Linked DNA regions of Coturnix japonica. The protein of the gene in region 1 purifies or fractionates together with the protein of each later gene. This does not show direct contact. Links are inferred from orthologs where the notes say so. Each region holds a gene or a part of one and is shown in the gene's direction. Other genes may lie near its edges.

What was found.
Region 2: the proteins of CKAP5 (region 1) and SLAIN2 purify together in Homo sapiens (affinity purification with mass spectrometry; 4 studies listed by BioGRID and IntAct, counting the BioPlex papers as one, with this or other methods). This does not show direct contact. The link is inferred for Coturnix japonica from reciprocal best matches to the Homo sapiens genes CKAP5 and SLAIN2.

Annotation. Positions count from the first base shown.
Region 1 is NC_029520.1:20,888,206-20,896,717, forward strand, and holds part of CKAP5 (cytoskeleton-associated protein 5), read left to right. Parts: intron 1-4,271; 5' UTR 4,272-4,306; coding exon 4,307-4,363; intron 4,364-4,874; coding exon 4,875-5,068; intron 5,069-6,129; coding exon 6,130-6,336; intron 6,337-8,410; coding exon 8,411-8,512. UniProt on the Homo sapiens protein: Binds to the plus end of microtubules and regulates microtubule dynamics and microtubule organization. Acts as a processive microtubule polymerase. Promotes cytoplasmic microtubule nucleation and elongation. Plays a major role in organizing spindle poles.
Region 2 is NC_029519.1:59,961,798-59,970,309, reverse strand, and holds part of SLAIN2 (SLAIN motif-containing protein 2), read left to right. Parts: intron 1-1,775; coding exon 1,776-1,940; intron 1,941-3,338; coding exon 3,339-3,500; intron 3,501-4,353; coding exon 4,354-4,713; intron 4,714-5,725; coding exon 5,726-5,863; intron 5,864-7,371; coding exon of another isoform or gene 7,372-7,421; exon of another isoform or gene 7,422-7,430; intron 7,431-8,512.

The DNA of each region.
Region 1 (8,512 bases):
TCAATAACTTGCTAGCTTTGACAGGTGAGAGAGAATGCAGTGCCATTTACTCTTGTGTGCCATTTCATTGCTGCTGGAGCTCAGAGAAGCTACCCCACAAAGTAGCCAGCAGCCTGCAAACAACTCCTTTTTGCCTTTTGTTTCTTGCATTTCTTATTATTCTGGGGCCCCCTGTCATCAAGAGCCTATGTGTTTCACATCTGGAGATTGAAAGTGCCATCTTCTAAAATCTTCGGAATTCCATCAGCATCAGATGGCCCTCTGAGTGGTGGTGCATCTGCATGAGCTTTTGAGCTCCTCGTTGCTGTGTCTGTCATCAAAAGACAGGTGGACTGAAACTGGGAGGCCTGCTGACAGCCTGACTGGAAGGTCTTCTGAGTCCTGCTTTTACCTCTTCAACTTCAGGAGTTTTAGCCGGACTTCAGCCTCCCTATGTTTAATTTACTGAAGCAGTTTACCGCGCTGTTTATTTTTGTTAGTTGATTAGGCCATGTTTTTTCAGTTCACATATTCTGCTGAATGCATCTGAGTGTTTAAAACAAACAAACAAAACCCCTATGCTGAGATTACTTGAATATTTTAAGCATTTTTCTGAGCTACATTATGCTGTAGCTAATGAGTTTTAATTAATGTAAAGGCTTAATTGGCAAGCGCTGTAGAACATGCTGGGCTGAACTTCTGAGACAGTGAAGCTTCACATGTTGAGAGGCAGAGACCCCAAACTGCTGTTAAACAAATAGAAATTCTTTCTGCTAGCAAAACATGGACCATCCTGGCACAGAGCTGTCTATGGAGAACTGTTGTCTCAACGCACATGAGAAGTGTGAAGATGTTGAAAGAACCCGCTCTAAGAACATTTCAAATGCAGTTCTGCTTGGAAATGGGCTGTCTTCAATAAGTTGTTCAGAGCTCACTCTTGGGTAAACCTCCTGAGAAGGCCACTTTGGCATCAAGCCTTTTGGTATTTTAAAAGCTATTCTTGCTCAGCAGTGATGCTTAATAGATGGAAGCGGGCGGAGATGAGTGGACAATTGGTATCAATAACCATCTGGTTTTTGTTTAGCACAAAATGGCTTCCTCCGCTGCATTCCCACTTCTTATGGGAGAACGGTCTGGAAAGTGAAGCTTCATGACAGTACGTAGTGAATCCATAATAAATGTGCTTTGAACTCACACATGTTTCAGGATATTTATGTCAAGAGGCTTTTTAGTGGTGCCCTTGTACAGTAAAACTGTAGGGTTGCTGCTGTTCAGCCCTTCCCAATTTTAGCCCAGAAAGCATTTATTTAGGAGCTGAGTAAGGAACTTTTCAGAGCAGCGTGTGCTTAATCCAAGTATTCCCTTACCATCCCTTTCACACGTTATCAATGCATTGATGATTTTTTTTTCCCCCTACAATTCATTAACAAATTCTCACTTTTACACTTGAACTTGTGTTGCGCTGTCCTATATATTTTTCTGCTCTTCCGTTGTCTCCCTTTGAAAGATATCCCGTTCTCTCCTTGCTGGTCTTCACTTTCTTCCTGCTCCATTGCATGAGTTTGCTGTGCCAAGAACTGTCAGGGAGGATTTGTTGTTCATCTCCATTGCAGATTGCTCAGCTGACTCGCTTTTGTAAATGTTTCATTGACCGCCTTAATAACAAGCCTCTCTCACAAAACTGATTTTGGTGGTTCAGTTGCTCCAGAGGCCCCGTTGTCTGGCTGCTAACAAAATGAGTGCTGTTACCCAAAGACTTATTAATCTGTTTGTTCGGAGTCTGTAAAATTAGTTGTGCTGACAAGTCAGCTATCTAGGTCAAACACTTCATTGCTGCGGATTCACTAGTTGTAATGCAATTTGGCTGTTATTGCAGCGTGAGCCTGCTCTCTATTTGGGTGTTGAGAAGTAATGAGAAGAGCTGAACGCGACTTTGGAAGGAAACTTCATTTTTAAAAAGCCTTTTTTTTGTCAAACGTGGGATATTTGAACATGCAGAATGCAGGAGCTTAATTGAAGGGAGAAACTACAGTGTGTCACTGTGCTGGAGGCGTGATGCAGACAGCTCAGGAGTTCAGGATTAGGGCGGGTGTGAACAGCGATGAAGATGGAGAGAATAGGTATCTAAAAGGGAGCTCCCCCCTCCGTGACCATGAAATACTTCCTGATAAACTGCCGGGTCCAAAGGGATTTGTAAGTTGTCATAGAGGACATATAATTTTATTACTATTTTTAGGTGCAAGATTCAGCGCAGGAGGCAACTGAACCCATTTTATAATTGGAAGTAATGATTGTAGCTCTTGCAACTAGAAATAGTTGGGAAACTGACTTGACCAGATTAGAGGGAAAAAAAGCAAGAGCGTGGCAGTTTTGCCCTCCCTGTCCCCCCATGTAAAAGTACCTCATGGTGCTGGGAAGGAAAATCCAGGATCCTCTTCTCCTTTGTGTGCTGTAGCAGTGGGATGTGCATGTCAGGGGTCACACTTTGGAGCATGAATGTTGTCTGAATGTAGAAGTAAAAAGCACTTGGAAATCTGTGATGTATCTGATGTCAGTGTTTGAGCTGGGGGCTGTGGGGAGGTTGTCACTATCCTGCAATAAGATTCTTCTTGTTAGAGCAGATTTCTGGAGCAAAGGAAATGCTCTTTTTTACTGCTTATACTGCCTTACTCCTTTTCCTGCTTTATCTGTGGTAATTCTTTTCCTTCTGTTGATTCCTTATGCTTTCCTCAAGAAAAGGATACAGCCAGGAACAGCTTGAATGTTGCCTCCGAATTTGTGATTAGGTTTGAAAATGACTTAAACAGAGTAATCTTAGTAAGAAGTTATTCCTGACAAGGGCTTGTGTGAGATTGGGGGAAAGCATTGTGCCTGTTTTTTGACTTGCTTCTGCACTGGTGAGGTCCTCCAGTGATTTCTATGCTGGTACATTAAGTTCTATACTGGTACATTAATTATTTCTAACACAAATGTAACTTATATTACACGGGACACAGCTTTGCTGGTATTTCTTAGCTGCCAGGCCGACTTGATTGATAAAGTCTGTTGTTGCAGCTGCATTCACACTAGGGCATTCCTGCATCCTTGACTAGGTGAGCTATTAAGAGAGCTTTTAACATAAAGGGAGCTTCATTTTTGCTTGTGGACTATTGCTAGCCTGCTTTCCCTATTGAATCAGCTGTTAGTGGCTGACAGATAGCTTTGGAGGACTTGCTTGTGTTAACTTACACCCATGAAATGATACTCCTAATTCTAGGATTTATTTTTCTGCAGAGAACCTCTGTATGTACTTCATATATGAAATGCTTTTATCTAAAAAGAATGCAGTTTTACTGGCATTGGCTGAATGTACATTATACATATTATGTTAGCATTGAGTATTTATACATCTAGTGGGATAAATTATTGGATGATGATGGCCACTAGTTCTTGAAATCTAACTCTGTTGTGTATGTATGTGAAATACTGTGCTGGAATGTGTTACTCCTTACCTGCTCTGATTTCATTTGCTTCTGTGGAGTTGTGAGCTGTCTCAGTGCTGCTGAGACTTGCATGTCTGAGATGATCATTGAGCCTGAGGTCTCATCTCTCATGCCCTAGTGGTCAATATTACTATTTTAATGAAGTGGGAGGGAGAAAACGCTTCTATGACCTTGAACAAGTAATAGTCGAGCCTACGTGAAGTAAGAAACTGGTCTCGGGATGACAGTTGCCAATTCTGGCTATTGTTAGAATTAGGGCATAAAGTGGCTATCTGGCAGAAATGGATTTTGTTAGTCTTGTAATACTGTTCATTTTAACTGCTCCGTTTGTGAAGTTATTAAAACAGCTGTCCTCACACTAATGTGATTGTTTTTCAACCCTGATGCATAGCACCTGCTGTAGAAAGCACATCAGTAAGCATCAGTTTTCTAGTGGTCATCAATACTCATTTCTTCTTAGATCCTTTATTGCATACGTTCTTCCTCAAGCTTAGACAAAGCTGTATACTGTGTGCCTCGTGTCAGCTTACTGAGACTTTACCAGATGGAAAATTGTGGTGTTGGAAGTATTACAAATGGAACTACTCTTCAGTGGCTTCTGTTAGCCTTCCAGAGTGGAGAGAGTTGCAGCCTAGTCTTAGTAGGTTGTATGTAAATACAACTGCAGGCTTGAAAGAGTGGGTTTCACATTAAATACAAGACGTGCTTTAGAGCTGTCTTTATTTTTTTATCTAATTTTTTGAGATGTGTTGCAAGTAGTACCTTGCTTATATTTTGTATGTGTGTTCTAATGTACCTCTGTGTCCTCAGGAATTGCTGTAACTGTGAAGAGAACCTGAATTACAATGGGGGATGACAGTGAGTGGATGAAATTACCCATCGATCAAAAGTGTGAACACAAGGTAGGATATACTTTTGGTCTTTGGGTTTGGCTTGCTGTGTGTCTGTGCTGTGATATTTCTATGATACTCCTGTACCTAATTATATCAAAGTTGGATAATTTTTATAGCATGGTAAAAGGTCTGAAACACTCAAGTAATGCTCATTAAGCAGGGTTCAGTTGCGTGATAACCTGGATGGCATAAGTTTGTGAGCTAGAAGATCAGTAGGCTTGCTCATGTGGATATATTACTCATCTGTAGCTGAAAGTACTGATGGGCGCACACCTACTCACCAGAGGTGGTTGCTAGAGCTGGTGGAGAACAGTGGAGAATAATGACATACCTCTTTCTGGGTGGTTGTTGACAGGAAAGCAGTGGGTATTTTGCACAGTGTTCTAATTGTTACTGGAGGGAAATCTTGCAGATGCCAGCTTGCTGAGTGCACTTACAGCTATGATTGAAGTACTTTGTGAGACTGGTGAGTTGAAGTCTGTATTAGCATGGCACTTAAATGTTTGACTACTTCTTCCAGCTGTGGAAAGCCAGACTAAATGGCTACGAAGAAGCCCTTAAGCTCTTCCAGAAGATTGATGATGAGAAGAGTCCTGAGTGGTCAAAATACCTTGGATTGGTAAAGAAATTTGTGACGGACTCCAATGCAGTGGCACAATTGAAAGGACTGGAAGCAGCACTTGCTTATGTTGAAAATGCTCACGTAGCTGGGAAGTAAGTAGCCTTTCCTTTATTAGTTAAGAGTTCTATGTCCCTCTATGAGAAAGTCTGTAGATAAAATGTGCGGGAGTTGTGAAGTTACAGTATTAAATGTTGAGAACAAGTTGCTTTCTGACTTATAAAACTTTCAGAGTAGTAGGTTTGTAGATGGTTTCCACGTACCTGTTAGTTTATCAGAAGTTGCTTACATAATGCTTAATGATGTTGAAGGTAAAGAGGGTGGTACAGATTTTGGAAATGGTAGAGAAGCAAAACAGTGAATTGGTGTTGTGAGCTGGCAGCCCTCCTCTTGCTTGGCTGGAGCAGTATATACAGGGAACATCTTTCCTGGGAGATATTCATGTAATTTATTTGTTGCATAAAATGTACTTATGTTTGTGGTGCTGTGTGCAATTTAATCCATCTAAATCTGCATACTCACCTACTTCTTCACAGGATGTTGCTACTATTAGCGTTATCTAGCCCCATGAAATAATGTGTTCTCCTGGGGGTGAAATGGCAGCTCTTAATTGACCTGATCCGTGCTTAGATATACTGGCCTTAAGTGACTTGATGTTTAAAAAAAATAAAAAATAAGCATTTAAAAACAAATAAATTAGAAGCTTATTTGAGAATCCTAACAGCATTTCCAGACCCCTTAGTTCACAAGTGGTGTGAATTGTTGAGTGTATTGGGAACTTTGGCATAATCCCAGCAAACTGTTTGTACACTGGTATTATATGTTACTATACTGTATGCAATTCCTGGAGATGATGAATTAATGTATGCTAATAGAGACCTTTTTGATATAGGGTCTTGTGTTCCTAATCTGGTGTAGTCTGGTATTAGGAACATGCCAAATAGTACTCAGTGTGAAGGAGTTCTATTGATTAAACTAGCGGGTAAAAATCACCTTTTACAGAAGGTTATAACCTTCAAAGTTAACTTAGAATTTAGTCTTTAAGACTGAGTTCTTGTCAATGTTTTAGATGATGTGTGTGCTTCTGCTGTGGCTAATGATGGTAAATAACCAGTTCACTTAAGTTTTCTAAAGGGAACTTTCTCTTGCCTTTCAGGACAACGGGAGAAGTAGCTTCTGGAGTTGTAAATAAAGTATTCAATCAGCCAAAAGCCAGAGCAAAGGAGCTGGGTGTAGATATATGTCTAATGTATATAGAAATTGAGAAAGGGGAGGCAGTACAGGAAGAATTGCTAAAAGGTCTCGACAACAAGAACCCAAAAATCATAGTTGCATGTATAGAGACACTGAGGAAAGCACTAAGGTAAGCTTTTATGTTTGGGACTATGGCACTTGTTTTGTTGTTGCTTTTTCCTCTCACTGCAGTAGTACATTTATCCATCTCTTGTTTTTTTTAGCAGGCTGTTTTTACTGAACTGATTATTTTTATGGTGATAACAGTTGTGAGAATATCACAACTCTTCTGAATAGCTAAGTTCAGTGATAGGAAAGTTGAAATTCGTTCTATTTTTTTTTTGCTGGTGGTGGTGGATTGTTTCAAGTTTTTCCTTGCTGATGTGTGCACCTTTGGTTGACTATATTGTTGCTTTGGTCTTTTTTAAATGCTCATTACCCCTATGTTTATTTTTAAGAGCTGTCCGTGTCAATTTCCATTGTCCATATAGAAATTTCTCTGTTAAGAACAGAAGCTGATAATAATCTCTAAAAACCAAAAGCTTATTTAAGATAGGGTATTGGGTTTCAGGATTAGAATCACAGAATTTGGTTGTGTTTGTTTCATTAAGTCAATTTCCTGCTGATAACTTTGGTATCAGTGAGGCCAGAAAACCTTTTCCTGCAAAAATAATAATAAAAAAGTAGCTCGTGTGAAAACACTGTAATACAGATGAAGGATACCTTTATGCTGGATGTTTGGTAGTGAATTTGCTGAAGTATGTGCCTAAATGGTTCTTCTTGCACTAAATGAGTGCTGTAAGCAATGATTTATTTTAGGTTCTGCTAAGTGTCCTACTTTTAAAAGCATATTTTACCTGGTTTAAATTCTTATCTGTTTAACAGTATGGTATAATTAGAAAATGGTGTAACCTTTCTCAATATCTTCCTACCAACTGTATTTATAAGACATACCTTCTTTATATGTAGTGTTTTATTATGCTTTAGATCTCTAGATCAGTTTATTTCATGGAGCTCTATTAGTCTTCCAATTTAGAATTATGCTTCCACAGTTTCTGCATTTGATAGCAAGGTTTTATGTATTGTTCCTAGGTGTGTAGTTTGAGTACATAACGCTTCCAGTGTTTTTTGTTTTATGCTGAAGTTTTTTTTATTCCTTGTGCTGTTACAAGAATTAGAAGAACAGTAGACACCAAGTTCTCATTCTCGATAGCCCCTTTGTCTAGTATGCCCCTTATTTCAACTGTGATGTAAAAACAAGCTTGTGCCATTCATTTGTTTGTATTCTATGATTGTTACTTCCAATACTGGAGTCTCTTTTGCATGCTTTATTACCTCACATTTCTCATAAAGTGAGACTTGTAATAAAGCTTCCAGCAGTTGAATTTTTAGAGCTTAGATATGCAACTTTCTGTTTCTTACTAGCTGGTTTTTACTAGCTTTTTCATGCAGTACTTAACTGAACAGAAACAGAAGTGTGACTAGAAAGTTTAATTTGGAGCTCTCAAGAAAGAAAAACGGTCCTCAATTGGTATTCTGTGGCTTCTGATGTGACTTATTTCAACTGTAGCAGTTTACTATTTGGATGGGTATCTTAAAAAAAAATGTGATATCCTTCAACGGTGGTTGAAAAATGTACTGTGTTAAGTTCAACAACATATAGGGAAGGTTGGCTGAGGAAACCTTTTCTGTGTTCTTTCAATTGCACACATTTTAGCACGTGTTATTTTTTGTGAGGATGACCCAGGCTTACTATAATTATCTACGTTCTACAAGTGGCAAAATGACTAATGCTTTTATTGCAGTTTGCCTCCAAGGATAGACAAAGGAGATTCTATTTATTCTGATTTATTTAAAGAAAAAAAAAAGTCATAAATTTCAGTCTAGGGATACTTTATTTTATCCCTTCTTGGCAAAAACAGATTTAGGCAATGGGTTGGATTAAAAGTTTTGAAGTAATTTTAGCAGAGGCCTGGTATTGTAATTCTGGTTGGCTTGGGGAAAGGAATTATGATTGGGGAAATATTCTTTTAATTGTGCAGTAGCTGAATGATATCATAAAAAGAAACAAGAATATGAATGTAGAATATTCTCTGCATGTAGTGAATGCACATCATGAGTTGGTGTTTAAAGTAAAAATAAATAAATCGCTTTTTGTGGCCCCTGCTTGGACTCTGATGCTATTCCACGTTTTTAACTTCCAGTGAATTTGGTTCAAAAATAATCTCACTGAAGCCAATCATCAAAGTATTGCCAAAACTGTTTGAGTCTCGCGAAAAGGCTGTTCGAGATGAAGCCAAACTCCT
Region 2 (8,512 bases), on another chromosome or scaffold:
GGTCTGACCTTTAAAGACAGACCTAAAGAAGGCATTCAGAACCTCTGCCTTTTCCTTATCCTCAGTGGTCACATTCCCAGCCTCATCCAGTAAACAGTGGAGATTCTTCTTAGTCCTCCTCTTACTCTTGATGTAGTTGTAAAAGTAAAATGTATTTTTGCTGTTTCTGAATCTTATAAAAGAAAACATGCATTAATATAAAAGCGCTCATCATTTCATTAATCCTTCCCTTTATGTTCTGAAAACTAATGCATGATGCACTCAAAGCTGATGTTTTATCTAATAGAGAATCTTTTTGACGTTAAAATTCATCCAACTGACTAACACCATCACTCCTAAGAAGGGCTGTATTTTGCATTGTTGAAAAACACTTCATGCCTTCCAATGCTATAGAAATCCCTATTGGAATTCTATACCAGGAAAAATTGCTTGAATCCAGTTGTTTTGGTTGGTTTGTTTGTTGCTTTTTTTTTTTTTTTTTTTTTTTTGTGGGGGAAAAAATGCAGTACTTATCTGTATAACTTGCTTTCATCTGAAGAAATATGCAAGTCATAAATACTTACAACTCAAGAATATTGACTGAAATTCATGGAGTTCACTGCTGGTGAAATATTAGCACATAGCTTTCACTTTCGGGCTCAAATAATGAAAGTGAAAGCAGGGCAGTGTAAGAAACTTGCTGTGAGGCCGGCTTTAATTCCTGCCATTTCTTCCTCTGCTTCACTCTGCTAGTCATTTGGTTGTGGTAACACAGTCCCTCAAGGGTGCCACTAAGAACTGGTTCTCTGATGAGATCACTTATTATTGACACTGCTTTAGTAGTCTGGGTAACAGTGCAACTACTCCATTGCTTGTATTGAGTGAGTGAGGAAGTAGTGACCAAGAGCAGAGTAGGGTTGGAGGAGGAGCTGAAGCAGGCCTTGCTGCTGAAGGCAGCATTTCATACAGCTGTTCCTATTTGGCTTCATTTAATGTTAAAAATAATAAATAAATAAATAAAACCCAGCAGAATAAAGGAATTTTTAGTAAACCAAGTGAATGTCAAACTGCTTGACATGGCAGAATGGAATTCAGGAATTTTTATCTTTTCATCTACGACTTTTTTTTTTCTGCTTTTTTTTTTTTTCTTCATTTTTTTCCCCTAGAACCTGTTTGAGTCCATTGCCACACATGTGTCAGGCCTGTTCTTGCCAGTTTGTAATCTGTAAATGCACGGTTTCAAAACTGTCACGCCTTAAACAGTTTAATTTGCAGCTCACTGAGCTGCTGACTACTAATCTAAATACAATTCTTTAGTCAGTTTGGCATAAAGCACTTTCAGCAATGAAGAAACTTAGCAAAACTGATCATATTTCCTTTGGTTCCCACCCCCTTTAGTTCCCCTCAAAGTTCTATTTTCTATTATTTTGAAATGAAAACTGAATGCAACTTTTAAGCAGGTATATAAATTACATTATATGGATGTTTATATTTCCTATGGACATTAGGAAATACTACTGTTCCAAAAGAGTGGTCAGGCAGTGGAATGGGCTGCCCAGGAAGGTGGTGGACTTGGCACTTACTAAGAAAGTGCTTGTTACCTTATCTTGTAGCTCTCTTGTGTTAGGTTTAGTACCTAGGAGACTAAGAAATGAGCTGAAAAAAATCCCTGCTGACTTAAGTGCTTTGCTTGAATTGTATAGCAATTAAATCACACTGAAGTTACCATAGCATTATATTCATTTTTTTGCTTTTTTCTGTATTATAATTGGTCATTTTCCTCCTCTTTTGTACAGCCATGAAGAGACAGAGTTTGTACAATAGCCCTTTCAGTGCAGTCAGCTATGCCAGCTCCTATAGTCCGAATACCAGTAGCCCCTACAGTAGTGGTTTCAACTCCCCCTCCTCAACACCAGTGAAATCTGCATTAGCGAAACAGTTCATACCTCCGGGTACCTCAGGTAAGTGTGTGTGTTTGGGGGGTCCTTTCCTTCCCCCTCTTCCTTTCTTCCAGAAATACATTTTCAAATACTTCTACATTTTCATGGAGCCTAGAATAAGAAGGACACCACAACTCATCAGTGCTTGGTTGTTGTTTTTTTGTAGGAAGTTTGCATCATGTGGTATTTAAGCTTTTTAGGAAAGGCATTTTTTATACGCCTACCTTTTGGTGTGAGATAGATTTACCAGGTTTTCTTTGGGATACCCATGTACCTAAGATAACTGGTTACATTTTAACAGTTAGCCCAAAACTTGTACTACAGCTTCTGTGAAGTCCCCACACACTTAAGAAGCTTCTGGAATTGACCATATGTAGTACCTTTAGACGTTACCTGTTGGTGGCTTGTATAGTCTATGCAATTACAGTATTATTTATTATTGAAACATTTGGTATATCATCATAGAATCACAGAATTACCCAGGTTGGAAAAGACCTTGAAGATCAAGTCCAACCGCAGCCTAACCATAGTACCCTAACTCTAAAAACCCTCTGCTAAATCATATCCCTGAGCACAGCTGCAGTATGAACTATGTAATCTAAGAAAGAAGCGTGTATTGCAATTGAAGATATTCCTTAAGGCTCTGCAGACATCAGTATAAACAGTAACTTCTGGCAGCCTTTTCTGCCTCTATTCTGCTCCATAGGCATTTTCTTTGCTTTAGAAAAACTGATGTATGAAACATCTCTCTACACTGAAGTCAGAATGTTGGCTCATTGCATTTACATCAGCTCAAGTTAGTTTGCAGGGAAGAGAAAGAACATTTAATTTTAAGTTCCACTGTCCGTAGTTTGCTGTGGACTTATAAAGAGAATCCTGCACTGCAATGTATTCACCAGAGACATTGCTGAAGTTCTGTTTTCATCTATCTAACTCTGGTCTTTGTTATGTGCTACAGTCCTGCTGCCGTCTGTCACACAGCAACAACATGTAATGGAATATTGGCAAGAAGGTTCAGCCTCTACTGCCATACCACTAACATCCACCACTGATTACAGGCCAACATAATCAAATAAAAGGCATTACTTTCAGAGCAGCCGTCATGGTGTGTAGAATAACATAGACCTAAATGGGACAGGCATGCAGTGCTCTTTCTGTATGAGCTGTACAAATGTCATAGCAATTGAAACCTTGGTACAAAGGGACCAAATTTCTGTCATTAATTTAATCTCTCACCATTATGGCAATTTTTATAAAGTTACTCGTTTTCAGCATAGATTTGCAGTCAGATATTTCAAATGTTTGTCTCAATATTTGAAGTCATCATCTGTTTTCAGATGGTTGGTTCTTTTATCAGGATATGAATTTTCTCTTCCTTTTCTTTCAAACATCTCCTATTACATTATGTTCTTTCTACAGGTCATCTTAAAAGCTCAGCTGATAGGAATCCTCCACTAAGTCCACAGTCCTCTGTGGACAGTGAATTAAGTGCATCAGAGATGGATGAAGACTCTATTGGATCTAATTACAAGCTAAATGATGTTACAGATGTGCAAATTTTAGCACGAATGCAGGAAGAAAGTAAGTATTATGCATCTTGAAAACCAAGTGGGATAGCTGATCTTTTTTAAATTAAATAACTGCAGCAGAGCTTCCTTAGCAAGAATCACAGAATTGTAGGGGTTAGAAGGGACCTCTAGAGATCATCGAGTACAACCCCCGAATGACAGAGCAAATCCCTTTGCTCTATCAAGGATATACAAATGTAGTTTTCCTGAGAAGACTATCTAAAGATTTCTGTCTCCTGGATAAGGAAAGGAAATGTATACCATTACGTACATGTACTCCTGCCCTGCTAAAGCATGGTAAAGCATGTACAAAAGTATAAATTTTAAAAGAAAAAGTGAAGCAAACAGTAATTACAAGCATTACTTTATCTCTTAACATTACCAAAAATGTTCTTCCCTTTATCACACTGAACTGTTCTGTGTACCCCTTGGGTAAGTGCTCCCAGCTTTGGAGATGGCTGGTCTAACTGAACTCTAGATCCTCTATGGGTAGCTTTCTGTTGTATTTACTAATGTCCCTCAAGAGGCATTTCATTCTAGCTTCTGTAATTCTTACAGGGTGGTACATGATAACCAGATTAAAGTTGTGGCCTGTGTTGTGAGTTTCCAGCCTGGGAGAGGAGATGAACAAGTAGACAGCACAGCTATATTAATGACTGTTGTAGTATGAAAAGGAAAAACTCATCTACTTACTCAGCTGTTAGACAACCTTGTTTAATATTAATCTGGAATTAATTTTATGTCTCAAATAAAAAGAGGGAAGATGAACCAAATGTTAGCTTGAGCACTGGGTGGGTAGTTGTGTGATTTCTAGCCTGCACCATATGTGGGCTGATAAAAAGTGACGCTGTACTCACTGTTACCAGGCCTCCGGCAAGAGTATGCAGCATCAGCGTCTCGGCGTAGTTCTGGTTCTTCTTGCAATTCCACGAGGCGAGGCACATTCAGCGACCAGGAGCTTGATGCACAGAGTTTAGAGGATGAAGAAGATGGCACACATCACACAGTGCATCCTGCTGTCAGCAGGTTCTCACCGTCACCTCGTAGTTCTCCCTGGCCTTCACCAAAACAGTCTCCAAGGAATTCTCCTCGTTCCCGATCACCTGCTCGAAGTATAGAATACAGTAGAGTGTCACCCCAACCTATGATTAGCCGTTTACAGCAACCTCGTCTTTCACTTCAAGGCCATCCTACAGATATGCAGACCAGTAATGTCAAAAGTGAAGGTAATAAGCTCCATCTCAAATTCATTACACATGTAGCTGAAGTAGTTCTGTAATTCCTGTAAAAGACTTTGGTTGCACATTGCTTGGATAATCAGAGCCAAAAATGTTGTTTGGGATTTTTTTTTTTTCCTGCTCTAGAAAGGGTGATAGAAAATCTGGATGTTCAGGAACGTACAGACTGCAGTGCTAACTTGTAAGAATATTCACCCTATAAAGATGCTTGCTTTCATTTTCATTAGTGCTTGGTTAGAGAATACTTCTTCCCTGCATCGCTCTTCATAATTAGGTTGGACATTCATTGCGCTTTGTCAGCTGTGCTCTTCTGTCCTGTAGTGTCATCAACCCAGCTCTGTGCGAGTTGGACGTAAGCAAAACAACACAAGACTTTAATGGCATCTTTTTGCCTTCTGTGAGAAATTGTACCAATTTTTAAGCTCCTTAAAGAATCAATATTAGCTGAATTAGTACTCCAGCCATATGTGAAAGATTCATAACACTTTGTAATTTTGAATGCTGTGTAAGTTGCTTTCCAGGTGAGTACCAGTTTGTTACATAGCATGCTGATATGGGACTGAGTGGTGACAAACATTGCTACAAAAATCACTGTTTTTATCTTATGGCAAGCCTTGTGTAATATAGTTTTCTAGACAAAGGCTTCAGAAAGTGTGCAACACTGGATGACAGATTTGTGTATTCAGTTGCTGTAATGCAGGAACAGAACCCAAGGAATTATAATTCAGACATGTTTCAATTTCAGAATACCCCATTTTTGATTTTTACTTTTTTGCCACAAGTGAAAACTGTATAATACTCTTCATTTTTTATATATAAATATAAAACTTCATCTCAGTATGATCAAAGAGCTGTTATGTAGCACAGTATGCATTTTAATTAGTTATATATAGCTAACTTTTTGTGTAACGTAGATTTTGGGTTCAGGTATTGGTTAACAACATGAACTCGGTCAGGCCTTGGGCTACACTTAGTGATATCTTTGTGTTGTTTCACACAGAAAAACTAAGGCGTAGTCTTCCAAACCTGTCCAGGACATCCAACATCCAAGCTGAGTCTGTGAAAAACAGCAGAAGCGACTCAAACTTCCAAGTGCCAAATGGAGGAATACCTCGCATTCAACCTCAAGCCTCAGCCAGTAAGTACCTTCCTGACGTTTGAGTGGATTGGATATGTCAGAATTAAGTGATGGCACTGAACTGTTGTCCAGTTTCATGGCACAGAGAAACACTGCATGCCACACTAGAGGTGCTAATCTGGATTTTAATCACATCTGTCTGAAATGCTGCTTTTTTTCTTTTTTTTTTTTTTTTAATAAATCAGGTGTTGAATGTACTGAAAGAACTTGTAGTCTGCTGTTAAAATAACATTCATACTGTCCTAAAAGCATATATGAAGATCTACAAGGAGTATAAATACTCTGAAGTAGCATTAGGCAGAGCATAAAATTCAACAGTATGAAGCATTATATTTCAGACTAGAAAAAACACATCACGCTACCAGAATGCTTATCGTGGTGATGGTTTTGCTATTTCTAACTATTGAAACCTAATGCAAAATCATCTGTGCAATTTTAACTTACCTGCAGTTAATTTTCTTCCGCTTTGTCACCTGAAAATTAATGCATTCAGTTGCAGATTTTGTTTTTACCAAACATCAGTGTTTCTCAGCAAAGGTTTAGATGAACCTGAGTCCTGTGAAACAAAAAGCGCAGAGCTGGGTTAATGCCTGCTGGTTTGGTTGGAAGCAAACCACTGATATGAGAACACTGCTGATCTCACAAGTCTCTTAGAAATGGTGACCTTAAAGCCAAAGCAAATGAAATGCAAATATTCAGTGCTTCCTTGTATGTCAATATTGACAGTTCCTTTTGCTTAAATGTTTCCTGACCCTTTTTTATTTTAAAACAAGTTTGAAAATGAATTACCCCGTGTGACATTTCAAAGGAAGAACACATTTTGAATATTATTATTTGTAGAGCTTTGATCTATGAAAGTTCATCAGTAATCTAAGTATTTGACAAGTAATGCAAGATAGTATTTGTGAATGAAACAAATTTCATTTTTACCTGTTGAAGAGTAAAGGCAAACTGCCGTACCTGATGGGCCTTTGTAACCATGGGCCTTTTGAAACAGCTTGATAATACAACCAAATACAGTTAAATGCAGAGCAATACGGACCTGGCGAAGACAACAAGAGTTCTGTCTTTCTAGTGACGCTGGATGTAAGGGTTCTGTGGACAATTAGTCCCAACTGCATGATACTGTAGCCAAATCTATACAGATTGTATTTGGTGTTTTAAAAGAGAGTGAACCTGAAAGGGGAGAGAGGACAGAGGGCAGCTTAGCTAGTCAGAAAGCTGCTTTCTAATATTCCCAGTGCAACTTTGTGGAAAGATAAGATAGCAGAAGTCTCAGTTTTCAATATTTGAGTTACTTCATTGCAGGAATGAGATGTTTATACATGATTGTTTTCAGCTACTGGATGGACTGAGAGTCATAGAAAGCATTAGGTAGATCTGTTTGCTTTTTATGGGAATCTTTCCTCAAACATGAACCACTCTAGACCAACTTACATCTAAATGTAAGTTTAGTATCATTAACAAAGCCCAGATTTCTAGCTTTTACAGTTTCCCTGCTCTTACAGATGTTTGTCAGAGTCTTGCTATTGACAATCGTAAAACGGTTTGTGTATGAAGTCAATGAGTAAGTATCTTTGCCTAGTCTGGATTTTAAAAAATTCCTCAAAATTGTACATTGTATAAAAAATTTCCAGAATTGTGCTTTTTTTATTGTACACTTTTTGTTTTATTGGTTTACTATTTTGTCACCTTGCACAAAGCACTGTTAAATTGCAGCTAAGCTTTGTTTTCCCTTGGCAATGACATCTGGGTCTAAGGATTCAAAGCTTCCTCATACCTGCTAGTGTTGCATGAGCTTCCCTTTGCAAGGATGCTGGCTTGCCGCCTGGGATCACTACTTTTCTTTTTTGTCAACGATCTGCTGTTCATAATTTACTTGCACATTTGCTGTGGCTGCAATACTGAACTTGCTATGGTTGCTGGCATTCAAAAATGAGTTAGGAATCCAGTAAGTTTCTGTGCAGACAATTCCTGATATGGTTACATAGGCAAATTAATACATACTTGATTAAGGAGTAGATGGAAGATAATTACAATAAGTACAAATGCAAAAGATGAAGACATTTTATAATCTTTAGCTGTAATCTGGTGAAAAATCCAAATTCTCTTTGAAAAGGGATTGAACGGGTAAACTACATATTAAGTGTAACTACTGGAATCTTCATCTACATATGGTTCACTGTGCTGTCACGCAGAAAGGATTTTGGAGTGCGAAAGCTGATAAGTATTTTACTGTAGAACACTGGAAGTTAGGGTAATACTTGCATTCTCCAAAGAACAGGCATCTTCTAGGCTTCCATGTGTTACAGATTGCAAATTCTCCACATTTAGATTGCACTCTACAGAGACTGTAAGTTGTAGAGCTTTGCACAAGGCAGCTTCTACATAGGAACAATGTGGATCACATATGCGTGATCCTTTTGAACACACACAGCATTAATAACACAAGGATGTGAAACCTTTCAGCAGAGTTAATTACAATGCTTTTTCAAAGAGCCAAGCTGTGAAGTGTTCAGATTATTAGTGACCATAGTCTGCTTGCCAAGATTTGGCTGCTTGGCATGTTCAGTGCAAAAGAACCTTTATATTCTAAGGAAACCTAAGTATTCCAGTTCAGTTAATCAGAAATAAATATATTCAGCTCGC